2 linked regions of the Saccharomyces cerevisiae S288C genome follow. The protein of the gene in region 1 binds, or shares a complex with, the protein of each later gene. Each region holds a gene or a part of one and is shown on either strand. Other genes may lie near its edges. A codon is read from its position in the direction of its gene.

Evidence for each region.
Region 2: the proteins of RRP43 (region 1) and CSL4 are in contact, whole or in part, in a cryo-EM structure (PDB 5G06), measured with the Saccharomyces cerevisiae proteins. Residues at the interface, in NP_009964.2 of Saccharomyces cerevisiae: Leu7 (codon at 2,207), Ile10 (codon at 2,198), Glu11 (codon at 2,195), Ile12 (codon at 2,192), His13 (codon at 2,189), Pro14 (codon at 2,186), Ile15 (codon at 2,183), Thr16 (codon at 2,180), Phe17 (codon at 2,177), Pro18 (codon at 2,174), Glu20 (codon at 2,168), Val21 (codon at 2,165), Arg24 (codon at 2,156), Ile25 (codon at 2,153), Ser26 (codon at 2,150), Glu28 (codon at 2,144), Leu29 (codon at 2,141), Gln32 (codon at 2,132), Arg33 (codon at 2,129), Arg138 (codon at 1,814), Gly139 (codon at 1,811), Arg140 (codon at 1,808), Arg222 (codon at 1,562), Glu305 (codon at 1,313), Cys306 (codon at 1,310), Leu308 (codon at 1,304), Glu337 (codon at 1,217); in NP_014167.1 of Saccharomyces cerevisiae: Leu140 (codon at 2,830), Leu156 (codon at 2,782), Ala185 (codon at 2,695), Phe188 (codon at 2,686), Ser189 (codon at 2,683), Val190 (codon at 2,680), Ser191 (codon at 2,677), Ala193 (codon at 2,671), Asp196 (codon at 2,662), Leu197 (codon at 2,659), Gly198 (codon at 2,656), Glu199 (codon at 2,653), Ile229 (codon at 2,563), Arg231 (codon at 2,557), Val255 (codon at 2,485), Phe256 (codon at 2,482), Arg258 (codon at 2,476), Gly265 (codon at 2,455), Leu266 (codon at 2,452), Tyr268 (codon at 2,446), Ala269 (codon at 2,443), Thr270 (codon at 2,440), Asp271 (codon at 2,437), Trp272 (codon at 2,434), Pro278 (codon at 2,416), Val279 (codon at 2,413), Ala289 (codon at 2,383), Lys290 (codon at 2,380), Pro291 (codon at 2,377).

The regions. Positions count from the first base shown.
Region 1 is NC_001135.5:190,794-197,630, forward strand, and holds RRP43 (exosome non-catalytic core subunit RRP43), read right to left. Parts: upstream 2,226-6,837; coding exon 1,041-2,225; downstream 1-1,040. Other genes in the region: fatty acid elongase ELO2, read left to right, coding at 1-842; RBK1 (putative ribokinase), read left to right, coding at 2,504-3,505; PHO87 (SPX domain-containing inorganic phosphate transporter), read right to left, coding at 3,621-6,392; Ras family guanine nucleotide exchange factor BUD5, read right to left, coding at 6,828-6,837.
Region 2 is NC_001146.8:213,179-218,169, reverse strand, and holds CSL4 (exosome non-catalytic core subunit CSL4), read right to left. Parts: upstream 3,248-4,991; coding exon 2,369-3,247; downstream 1-2,368. Other genes in the region: ELA1 (elongin A), read left to right, coding at 1-647; PDR16 (phosphatidylinositol transporter), read left to right, coding at 1,128-2,183; BNI4 (Bni4p), read right to left, coding at 3,570-4,991.

The sequences.
Region 1 (6,837 bases):
TGCCCCCTGTGCTATACGCCATCACTGCCTATTACGTTATTATTTTTGGTGGCAGGTTTTTGTTAAGTAAGTCGAAACCATTTAAATTAAATGGCCTTTTCCAATTGCATAATTTGGTTTTAACTTCACTTTCATTGACGCTTTTATTGCTTATGGTTGAACAATTAGTGCCAATTATTGTTCAGCACGGGTTATACTTCGCTATCTGTAATATTGGTGCTTGGACTCAACCGCTCGTTACATTATATTACATGAATTACATTGTCAAGTTTATTGAATTTATAGACACCTTTTTCTTGGTGCTAAAACATAAAAAATTGACATTTTTGCATACTTATCACCATGGCGCTACTGCCTTATTATGTTACACCCAATTGATGGGCACCACATCTATTTCTTGGGTCCCTATTTCATTGAACCTTGGTGTTCACGTGGTTATGTATTGGTACTATTTCTTGGCTGCCAGAGGCATCAGGGTCTGGTGGAAGGAATGGGTTACCAGATTTCAAATTATCCAATTTGTTTTGGATATCGGTTTCATATATTTTGCTGTCTACCAAAAAGCAGTTCACTTGTATTTCCCAATTTTGCCACATTGTGGTGACTGTGTGGGTTCAACAACTGCCACCTTTGCAGGTTGTGCCATTATTTCTTCATATTTGGTACTATTTATTTCATTTTACATTAACGTTTATAAACGTAAAGGCACCAAAACCAGTAGAGTGGTAAAGCGTGCCCACGGCGGTGTTGCCGCAAAGGTTAATGAGTATGTTAACGTTGACTTGAAAAACGTTCCTACTCCATCTCCATCACCAAAACCTCAACACAGAAGAAAAAGGTAAGTGTAAAATCTTTGAAAGAATTTAAGTATTCAACTTTCGTATATTCGTTTTTTCTTAGTGGATCTATTGTTACTATTATCACTATTATTATATTGTAAAAGACCGGATGGTTTTGTTATATATTACATACACATGTTATCGTTGAAAAAAGTTTTCCGTTTCCTTTCGACAGTCATCAGATAATTTTATCCGAGTCTTTTATATGTTAAATCTTGTTGACAAATCGTCCGCTCTAACCCTAGATAACAACAATGATCTTTTTATCATTTCTGGCGTTATTTTAGCGCCTCCTCCCACTAATGTTAATTGCTTATAGTTACCTGAAGGAGCAGCGAGGATGGAGATCGTACTGTGTATACTTGTTTCTTCCGCTTCAGTATCTAGGTCTGCTATTAGCACAGTGTTCAATTTATCCATATCAATGTCCACTTCCTCTTCTTCAGAGTTATCAGAGTTTTGTAATTGGCATTCGGGGTCTAACTCCACTATCCCATAATTTGAAGCAAATGCAATATTCTTTGCGTTTATCATTAACGGTACTGACTTAGTTTGGTCGCAAATAATTTCATACGTTTCTCTTATGGTGGCACTTCTTCCTCTTGTTCTTATAGTCATTCTTAAATCGGACGCACGCTCATCTATAAATGCTCTAGGTAACTTTACGCTCTGTAAAGCGTACATCAAAGAATTCCAACACAAATCGAAGACTGGACCAGTGCGACTCAAGACTACAATTTTCGCATACAAAACGTATGACCATTTTCTTTTCATTTTCAGGTTTGTTTCATTCAGCGTATCATCTTCTAATTCATCGGGATACAAGACGGAAAACGTACCGTCTTCATTCGCACTACGAACACCAGCTTTTACCTTCAAGGCTTTTTTAGGCAATATCCTAGAGTGCAATATGGAATCGTGTAGTTTTTGTGATATAGTCATTTCTTCATCGGTGCAAGCGCCCACTCTACCTCTTTCAACTTCCACCACCGGATAGACAGAAGCATAATTTGCAATTATGTCCTCCTCTTTGGTCACTTCGAACAATTCTTCCTCACCGAAATCATCCAAATCTTTAATCGCGGCGCTAGTTTCTTCTATTATTCCACCCGTAATAGAAGTTATGACTATGGTTTTCCCACTTTTCAAAACATTTGAGCCTAAAATGTTGTTTTTAGTGTCTATATTACCAGCATCCGCATAACGCGATAAAGTATTATTTTCTATAGCAACATCTCTAAATTCTTCATATTTTCTTAGACATGGCCTGATTCCTAGGGATAAGTGTCTTTGTAAAGACAATTCTGGAGATATTCTCGCAAGAACTTCAGGTGGAAAAGTAATTGGGTGTATCTCAATAGTTTCTAACGTGGTACTTTCAGCCATTTCCAATATTAGATGCCTGTGAAACTACTGTCAAACTTATTTGTGTAACAATACTCATCGTCTAATTTGTCCATTATTGTTATATACTCTGTCATAAAAAAAGAAAGAAAAATCTTATACTTTCGTCGACTGTGATTTGAAAATCTCTCCAGATCAAACGGGAATAAAAGGGTTTATATCCGAAGGTGGCCAGAACAATCATGAAGCAAATAGGATAAAAATAGCCAATAAGATGTTTGTTGTCTTTCATCCCAAAGTTCCAACAGCATATTTCAAAGATGGGTATTACAGTAATAGGTTCTCTAAACTATGATTTGGACACATTTACGGATAGATTACCTAACGCTGGAGAAACTTTCAGGGCTAACCACTTCGAAACACATGCTGGTGGTAAGGGATTGAACCAAGCTGCGGCCATTGGTAAATTAAAAAACCCCAGCAGCAGATATAGTGTTCGAATGATTGGTAATGTTGGAAATGATACATTTGGTAAACAATTGAAGGACACTTTATCCGATTGCGGAGTCGATATCACTCACGTCGGTACTTACGAAGGCATTAATACGGGTACCGCTACCATACTAATTGAAGAGAAAGCTGGTGGCCAAAATAGGATATTGATTGTAGAAGGTGCTAACAGCAAGACTATTTATGACCCGAAACAGTTGTGTGAAATTTTTCCAGAGGGCAAGGAGGAAGAAGAGTATGTTGTTTTTCAACACGAAATTCCTGATCCTCTTTCCATTATTAAATGGATACATGCGAACAGGCCGAATTTTCAGATCGTATATAACCCCTCACCTTTCAAGGCCATGCCTAAGAAAGATTGGGAGTTGGTAGACCTTTTGGTCGTTAATGAAATTGAGGGTCTTCAAATCGTGGAAAGTGTATTTGATAATGAACTTGTTGAAGAAATAAGGGAGAAGATAAAGGACGACTTTTTAGGAGAATATCGTAAAATTTGTGAGCTTTTGTATGAAAAACTCATGAATCGAAAGAAAAGAGGAATTGTGGTTATGACTTTGGGTTCGAGAGGGGTGCTTTTCTGTTCGCACGAAAGCCCTGAAGTACAATTCCTTCCGGCTATTCAAAATGTTTCGGTTGTTGATACTACAGGAGCTGGAGATACTTTCCTGGGCGGTTTGGTTACTCAATTGTATCAAGGAGAGACCTTGTCTACGGCTATAAAGTTCTCTACATTAGCTAGTTCATTGACCATTCAAAGAAAAGGTGCTGCTGAAAGCATGCCACTGTATAAAGATGTTCAGAAAGATGCATAAAATCTACTGCAATTTTTTACTTTTAGTTTGTTAAATTTTAGTTTTCGTCATATATATAAAGTTTAAAAAGGTACAAAGAATGCAGTAATAAGAAATGTAATTACATGAGGGCAGTTTAAGTGCTACCTTTTAAGACGGAAGAACTAATACCATAACCGAGAGTAATTACGCAGACAAACGCTAACAACGAAGCAGGAACACCTCTGGAGATAAAAGCGCCTACAGTTAGCCATCTATTACCCTTTTTATCGGTCATAGAAATAGCAGTAACGTTTGGAAATCCAGATGAAGCCAACCCCATACCGCATGAGGCTAACAAGGCGCAACCGAACACAAGAATTGGAGCTGCCTTTGGATCGGATAATTTGTCACCAACTTCTTGCACCAAGGGAATAATGATGATTGCTGACACAGTATGTGAGACAAAAGTGCCCACAACTAACATTAAAATACCGAAAATACATAAGATAGCAAAAACACCATCGTTCTGAATTTTCTTTTGTAATGCTCTTGCAATAGTTACCAACAAGCCTGAAGATGAAACTGCCTTACCAAGGGCTATACCACCCATAGCAAGAACAACAATTGACCAAGGGAATGTGTTGAAATCCTTTGTTGATAGTAGACCTGTACCAAAAAACAGGACTATCGGTATTACTGCAATTTCACCGGACGATCCAAAAGCACTTTCTATTTGTGACTCTACACACCATAGAAGAATAGTAGCAATAGTTACAATGATGATAAAATATTGCTTTATAGTAAATCTGGTCCTTATTGGTTTAAATTTTTCCAGTTTAGTTTTGCCTATTTTAAAGGTGAGTATCATCAAGGCCCAGGAGCACAGCATCGATAGAATACCTGTAGGCAGAGCGACAGCAAAAAATTGCCCCCAGCCGATTCCATAAGGTTTTAAGTACTGCATGGAGATGATATTCTGTGGCGAAGAAATAGGTGAAGCCATACCACCAATATCTGCCGAAAGTGCAACACCCATGACTAATGCCTTAGCAAACGGTGAAGTGTAGTCCAGCGGATCTAGTAAGGGTGTTAATAGAGAATATGTCAATACTGGGGAGGCAACGTTGGAAATCCACATCGAAAGAAAGAATACAACACTCATTGCCATTAAAAGGACATTTCTTGGCTTGGTACCTGCAAGGGCCAATAACCACGATGCCAAAACTTTCGCAACGTTATATTGCGACAAGGCTTCACCCAATGTGAAACCTGCTAATAAAATCATAATTGTTGACGACCACATTGTACCTAAGATTTCTGTAGAGGCAGCTGCTGCTCCCATTACCTTACCGTCATCGTCTTTTAGTACCCTAAAAAGGACAGTTAGAAGGGGAACCAATAAACCTGTGATGTGTAATGGAATGGCTTCACTAGCCCATAAGAAAGCACAGCATTCTACCAATGCCATACACCGGTGTTCGACAGGGTCATTGAAAGTTTTAACACCCAACAAAACACCTGTGACAATGATAATGAAGCCTATTTTCATTGCTCTTTTCCCAAAAAATAGCTTAGGAACTGCCAAATTTTCAATTTTAGTAAACTTCAAATTAATTGGCTTAGGCAATGGATACTTGAAATATTCAATTTGAAGCTTTTCTTGCATAAGTTTCTCAGCTTCATCTTCAATAGTTATTATATCGTTATTTTGCGAAGAGAGGCCCAACATGTCTTTCCATGTGTTGCTTCTTTCCCAAACAATGTGGTCGTGCAGGTACGACTTTAACTCTTGCTTGCATGAATCTACGTTCCCAGGCTGACCCATGAGAACAGCATAAAATTCAATAAGTTGTGCAATTTTACTGTTTAAACTGCTTAAAGTTTCATGCTGGAAGATGTAGGTGTCTTTGAAAAATTCTTCACTTTCTATTAATTCTTGCCTAGTGTTCATGTGCAATACTTTATCAGACTTCTTAGTAATTTTACTGAAACCCATTCTGTTCAATTCGATAAAAGATTTCAACTGGCAAAGGTCTATGTAAAGATTTATTATTGTCTGTTTTAATAATGACTTTTTCTGAGATTTAATGTTAAATTGCGAATAATTCAAGAGGGCGGTATTGTCGGTAGTGTCAGCAAACACGTCAACGTCATCATCTTCATCCATTTCTTCTTCGCTGTAATCAAACCTATTTCTCAATTCACTGTCGATGTTTGAAGAGTGTATTTCAAATGGGTTATTAGATGAATGTGTCTCTGATGTACCAGAAATAATTTCTCTTAAAGGAGGCAATGCTTGAATTTCAGGATTGAAAGTTTCATTCAATCTTGTTACAATGCCTTCCTTCTCCAAATCATTAATCAAGTGGTCAAATCTTTCATAGAACTTAGCTTCCATTCTTTTGTAGAAATCATCTACTTTCAATTTCTCGTCGCTCAGGTTAGTTACGAATGTATCATAAGAACTGAAGAGCGTCTTTCCCTCGCTACTCACAGATGAGCTGCGTGATTCAAAGAATTTCTTACGTATAAAATTCTTATTGAAAGAGGTGGTTTTCCCTTGAGGAGATAACTCGTCTAACTCAATTGTTTCCTCGTTAATATTGTTCCCATCTATGGCCTTTTCGTCGGAGTCTCCCCTTTTGCTTCCTGAAGGTGTTTTAGAACCAAAGAGCTTACGCTTGAGTTTATGTGTAAATCTTCTTTTCGATGAAGATGGTTCTCCTGCAGCTATGTTGCTTTCTATATCAGCGATTGGACCTGGAGTCTGAGAGTCAGCGTCATCGTTTAAGTCACCGGTTGGCGTTTCTTGTTTCAATTCATCTGTCTGTAATGTGTAGATCAAATTTTTCAATTCGTTATAATCTAGGTAATGATTCTGCCATTCAGGGACAGCGTTGTATTTGAGAAAGTGTGAGAATCTCATTTCGAGGCACAATAATAGCCGCCTTTACCGTAGTTTTGCTGCACCTTTATCTGAGAGCTGACTGCTTTTTTGGTGTGAAACACTGTTTTCTGGTAATAATTTTTCAATGCATCGGATTACTTTTCCCACGTGCGAAATCATCAATTAATTAGATTGAAAAAAGGGTAAGGGAAAATAAGAAAGAGGCGGTAGCCTAAAGATACGGTAATTGAAACGTTTCCTATGCACAATCTTAAACCTTTTTAGGTAATTGATTAAGTTGACTGTAATATCTGTAAAAGATTACATCTAATTTACGTCTGGTTTCTTATCAAAAAATATTATCTACTGTAGTTATGCAAGTATTCTTAATTTTCAGTACTAAACATGAATATTAATTATTTGTGAGCGTACAAGAAGCAAAAGGAAGTCATCTTTCTTTGAACAGTTCTGTTTTTAGGTAAGC
Region 2 (4,991 bases), on another chromosome or scaffold:
CCATAGTGGTTGACCACACTGTTTACTTCAAAAAGAGAAACACCAAGAAGACTACAAGGTTGCACAACGAACCCCATTCGCAATTATACATGAAATCGTTGAAAGATCACGAGTCCAGACTAAAGCATTTCAAAGACGGCGGATTCAACATTGCAAAAAGGCATGCGCAACGTGTGGCCTTTGGTGGCCAAGCGGGCGGACAATCGTCTTCCCCCAAGAAAGGCCCATTGTCCATCAAACCGGAGCCTGTTAAGGTAAATCGTCAAATGGATAATGTCACAGCAGAGAAGAAAGATGTTACGCAGCCCATCACGCCGGTGAAGAAGAGAAGATCCGAATCACCGTCAATCTTTCTCAATCGTAAAAAACCTGCGCTATTCAGGCCTACTCCGAAGACAAACGCTGCAGGTTCTCGACCCCATACAACAGCGATCACCAACGATCACCGTACTACTTCTCATCCTTATCCCCACAAAGATGTTGTAACTTCAATATCAAGTGTCACCGCAAATCCCGTAACAAAGGGCCACAAGAAGAAGAAATCCGGAATTTTCGTACGAAATGCCGGATCTGACGGAGATAGTTTTCCGCACGTGACCGCAACCGGCCCTACTACCCGTCCGTATATCTATGAGCCACGGAAATAGCAGTAACCCAACTCCGAAGGCCGTCACATCCCCTGCGATTTCCCACGGGTCCAGTCATTCCGCGGAGAAAGAAAGCAACCGGAAGCAACGGCATCCCTGCTTATAAGCGATTTTCGCGTTGCGCGTCATCTTTTTGTCTTCCGTCTTAGTAATTTTTATGATTTTTTTCATTCCACCCGACTCTATTTGAGTGCAAGCATGCGATATATCTCTCTATATATTGCCAGATCTTTATCGCAATAGGTTCATGCACTATATGCGCATCCCACTCTTGTACATGCACAATATTGTGCTCATTGTCTGAATATATATATATTTATATATATATATGTATGTATATATATCAGTTCTAGATAGACTAATACCACTTCTTCGTTAGAAAAATATTTCAATCCTTATTTTGTTTCTAACTGTTCCCTTCTCTCCATCCAACAAATAATACAAAACCACTTTATATAAAAAAAATTACAAAAGCAAAAAATGTTCAAGAGATTTAGCAAAAAGAAGGAGGCTCCAGAAGACCCAAAAAATTTGATTAATATTGATAAGCCTATCAAAGAACTTCCTGCTTCGATAGCTATTCCAAAAGAAAAACCACTTACAGGTGAGCAACAAAAAATGTATGACGAAGTGCTAAAACATTTCAGTAACCCTGACTTGAAGGTTTATACAAGTGAAAAAAATAAGTCGGAGGATGATCTTAAACCCTTAGAGGAAGAAGAAAAGGCATGGTTGACAAGAGAATGTTTTTTACGTTACCTAAGGGCTACTAAATGGGTGCTAAAAGACTGTATCGATAGAATCACCATGACTCTAGCGTGGAGAAGAGAATTCGGTATTAGTCATTTAGGTGAAGAGCATGGTGATAAAATAACTGCTGACTTGGTGGCCGTCGAGAACGAATCAGGTAAGCAGGTGATTTTGGGTTACGAAAACGATGCTAGACCTATCTTATATTTGAAACCGGGCAGACAAAATACAAAGACTTCTCACAGACAGGTACAGCACTTGGTCTTCATGTTGGAAAGAGTTATCGATTTTATGCCAGCTGGTCAAGACTCTCTAGCTTTGCTAATAGACTTTAAAGATTACCCTGATGTTCCTAAAGTACCTGGCAATAGTAAAATCCCACCTATTGGTGTAGGGAAAGAAGTGCTGCATATTCTACAAACTCATTATCCAGAAAGACTAGGAAAAGCACTTTTGACGAATATTCCTTGGTTAGCATGGACTTTCTTGAAGTTAATTCACCCTTTTATTGACCCACTGACCCGTGAAAAGCTAGTTTTTGATGAACCATTTGTTAAATATGTCCCTAAGAACGAACTAGATTCGTTGTATGGTGGTGATCTGAAATTCAAGTACAATCATGATGTTTATTGGCCAGCTCTGGTGGAAACCGCGCGTGAAAAAAGAGATCATTATTTTAAGAGGTTTCAAAGCTTCGGTGGTATTGTAGGTTTAAGTGAGGTTGATTTAAGAGGTACTCATGAAAAACTTCTTTACCCAGTAAAATCGGAAAGCAGTACCGTGTAAAGGCAAATTTAGATAGATAATGATAATGCACTATAATATATAATAAATAAAAGAGAATAAAAAGTTTAATCACGTTCCCGCTTCTTTTTCCTAACCATCAAAGAATGCAATCTAAAGAAGAAGAAGCGAATACCCTCTTTTAAATATATACGCGTCTATATGCACTGTAGATAAGCTGTTACATATCAAAAAGGTTTGGCACATTTGCGCTTTTCTGTAGCGCCTGTAACCGGTGAAGTCATCATTTGCCAGTCTGTAGCATACATCAATCCACCAGCACCATTAGCAGCTCTGGCGAACACGACCCCAAGGTCATTCCTTGCAGTGGTCAAATAGTAGTTGGTTCCGTCACCTAATGATAAAACTTGCGCCCTAACAATATCTCCCGGCTTGAAACATTCTATCACTTTCACACGATCTCTGTCTGTAGACCGTACATCCTGAGACCTGATTATACCTCTGAATGTCTCACCTAAATCTGATGATGCTTGAGAAACAGAGAACGTAGCTGCTCCAGAACCGCCACCAGCAGCGACTATTCCCGATCCATTACTGCCGATGCCACTATCAATTGGAGATGGTTTATCTTCCACAGCTAAAATTTCGACATTGGCTCGTTGCAACGAAAGCCTTGTCACCCTGGTCAGCACAATATCACCTTCCTTCGGTAGGTTATTGGCAAAATCATTATTAGCATATTTGTTGGTTTTACGACCCTTTTCTGTCCCAGGAAGCACTGAAACCAGAATATTTTTTACAGTTCTTCTTGTGACATCATTAGGTGATGCATCTACTGATTTTTCTTCCTCTGTAGATTGATCAGTGCCTTCACGCTCTTCTTCCTGATCAGTTTTTTTTTCTTCCTCACACCTCACTGTCCCAACTAGTGTAGCAGTTATAGCTTCTAAAGTTCGTCCGTTGTGTTCATATTGAATTAGTTTAGTTCCGGGACCGGGCACATAATTGAAAATTATATCTTCGCCATCTTTATTTTCCGTACCGTACTGTGGGCATATTAGTTTACCTGGATAAGCTATTTCTGGAAACTGAAAATTGCATGCCATTATAATACACTTATAGATTGAGGTATTCAATGCTCTGGAAAAAATCAAAGAATCTTTAATATACAAATGCGTAGTTAATCATGCCGTACCATAAGCTCATCATCAGTGAATTCTGGATCTTATTTTTCTTTCTTTTTTCAATATTTTTTGGAAATTTTTACTTCACGTGACGGAGACGGGTAATGCAGACGGTATTTTGAAATGATGCCGCAAATACAACACATAACACCCAAGATTCTTGCGATAAATTATAGGTTTATAAAAACTAGAATGTCTTGATATGTATGATTTGATTCATTTCCATTTCTCCCAGTTTTCTGCTCTAATAAAAATGTGTGTAACATCGCGAATCATCGTGTACTTCCATTGCGCTCTTTAACTCATTTAATTCCAATTTGATCATTTGAGCCAGTTGTGGAGTAAGCTGGTTACAAGTGGAAATTTCTGGATGTCTATCATATTCGAATTCTCCATAAGTGTCGTAAAGTATTATCTGGGACGAAAACCGGACACCCTGGTCATTATTACTGTTTACATACACCTCACCTAGACTTGTTAAGTCTGATTTTACGGGAGAATCAGGCGTCATGGAGTCAATAAAAGAAGTATTCATTCTTGGGGCTTTTAGTCCTTTAAAGGACATTGAAACAGGTCTATTGGGTTCGAATTCTGGTAAATATGCATTATTTCTTGGAGTAACTTCTATGGGCTGTTCTATGTGTTTGTTGAAATCTTCATTCTCAAATTCGTTGTCATTTATTTCACTTCCGTCTTGTTCAAATGTATGTAATTGACCTTGACGCTCATCTCCGTATGTAGTAGCTCCAGCAGCGGAATAAGATTGAGTTTCTCTTTCTTTGTAACTATCCTCTTTGTTATTTCGTGTATCAAAAGTACCAGAGCGATTTACTTCATCATTTCCAACAGGTTCAGGGGTTTCTGTTGCATATGAGGCCGTTGTATCTCCCAAGTCTAGGTCTAGATTGAGATCATCATCACCGAAGTTAATAAAACTTGCAAACTCCATTATATCAGAAATTAACTCGTTATCATCATCTGCAAAAACGCTTTGCCTTTCAGAATCCTTCTTCAGAGGTTCTTCTCTTGGTTTTGGTACATCCCTTTCAACTTCAGTTTTTTCTTCATCAGAGGCCATCACTAGCTGGTCAAATTTTTGTTCAATAGACTCTAAAAATATGTCATCTTTTTTTAGTGGACCACTATCGTCCTTGATATCTAAAAAGTCCTCATTCGTGGTACCTTCGTAAGAGTGTTCTCTGGAGAAATTATCTGAGTATTCGAACCTTCCATTCTTTAAAATGCTGCTAGCAGGAGACTTCGTCAAGTCTGGAGTAGATAATACAACAGAAGATGCCTCAGTGATGAACATTCCCTCACTTTGCGCTTTGATCGATAGCGTATCTGTCAATGACCTTCTTTGCGAGTTCATTGAACTTCTCTTGTTAGACTTTGTAGATCTTGTTCTTTCTAAAGAAACGATCGAGTCGACTTCATGATTATCCAAAAATTTTGGGAAAAGAACCTCACCTGTATCGTGTTTGGAAAATGCTGGTGAGGGTGCTTCGTAGTCCAGTGATAAAAAATTATCCTTGGTTGGTAATTGAAGATCATTTTTGGCATCATCATCTTCTCTTACGTGTTCTTGTAGCGGGGTATTTATCTGTTTATCACCTCCCAATATGAGATCCATGTTTAAAGGAGTAGGTTTTCTCTGATCAATTGA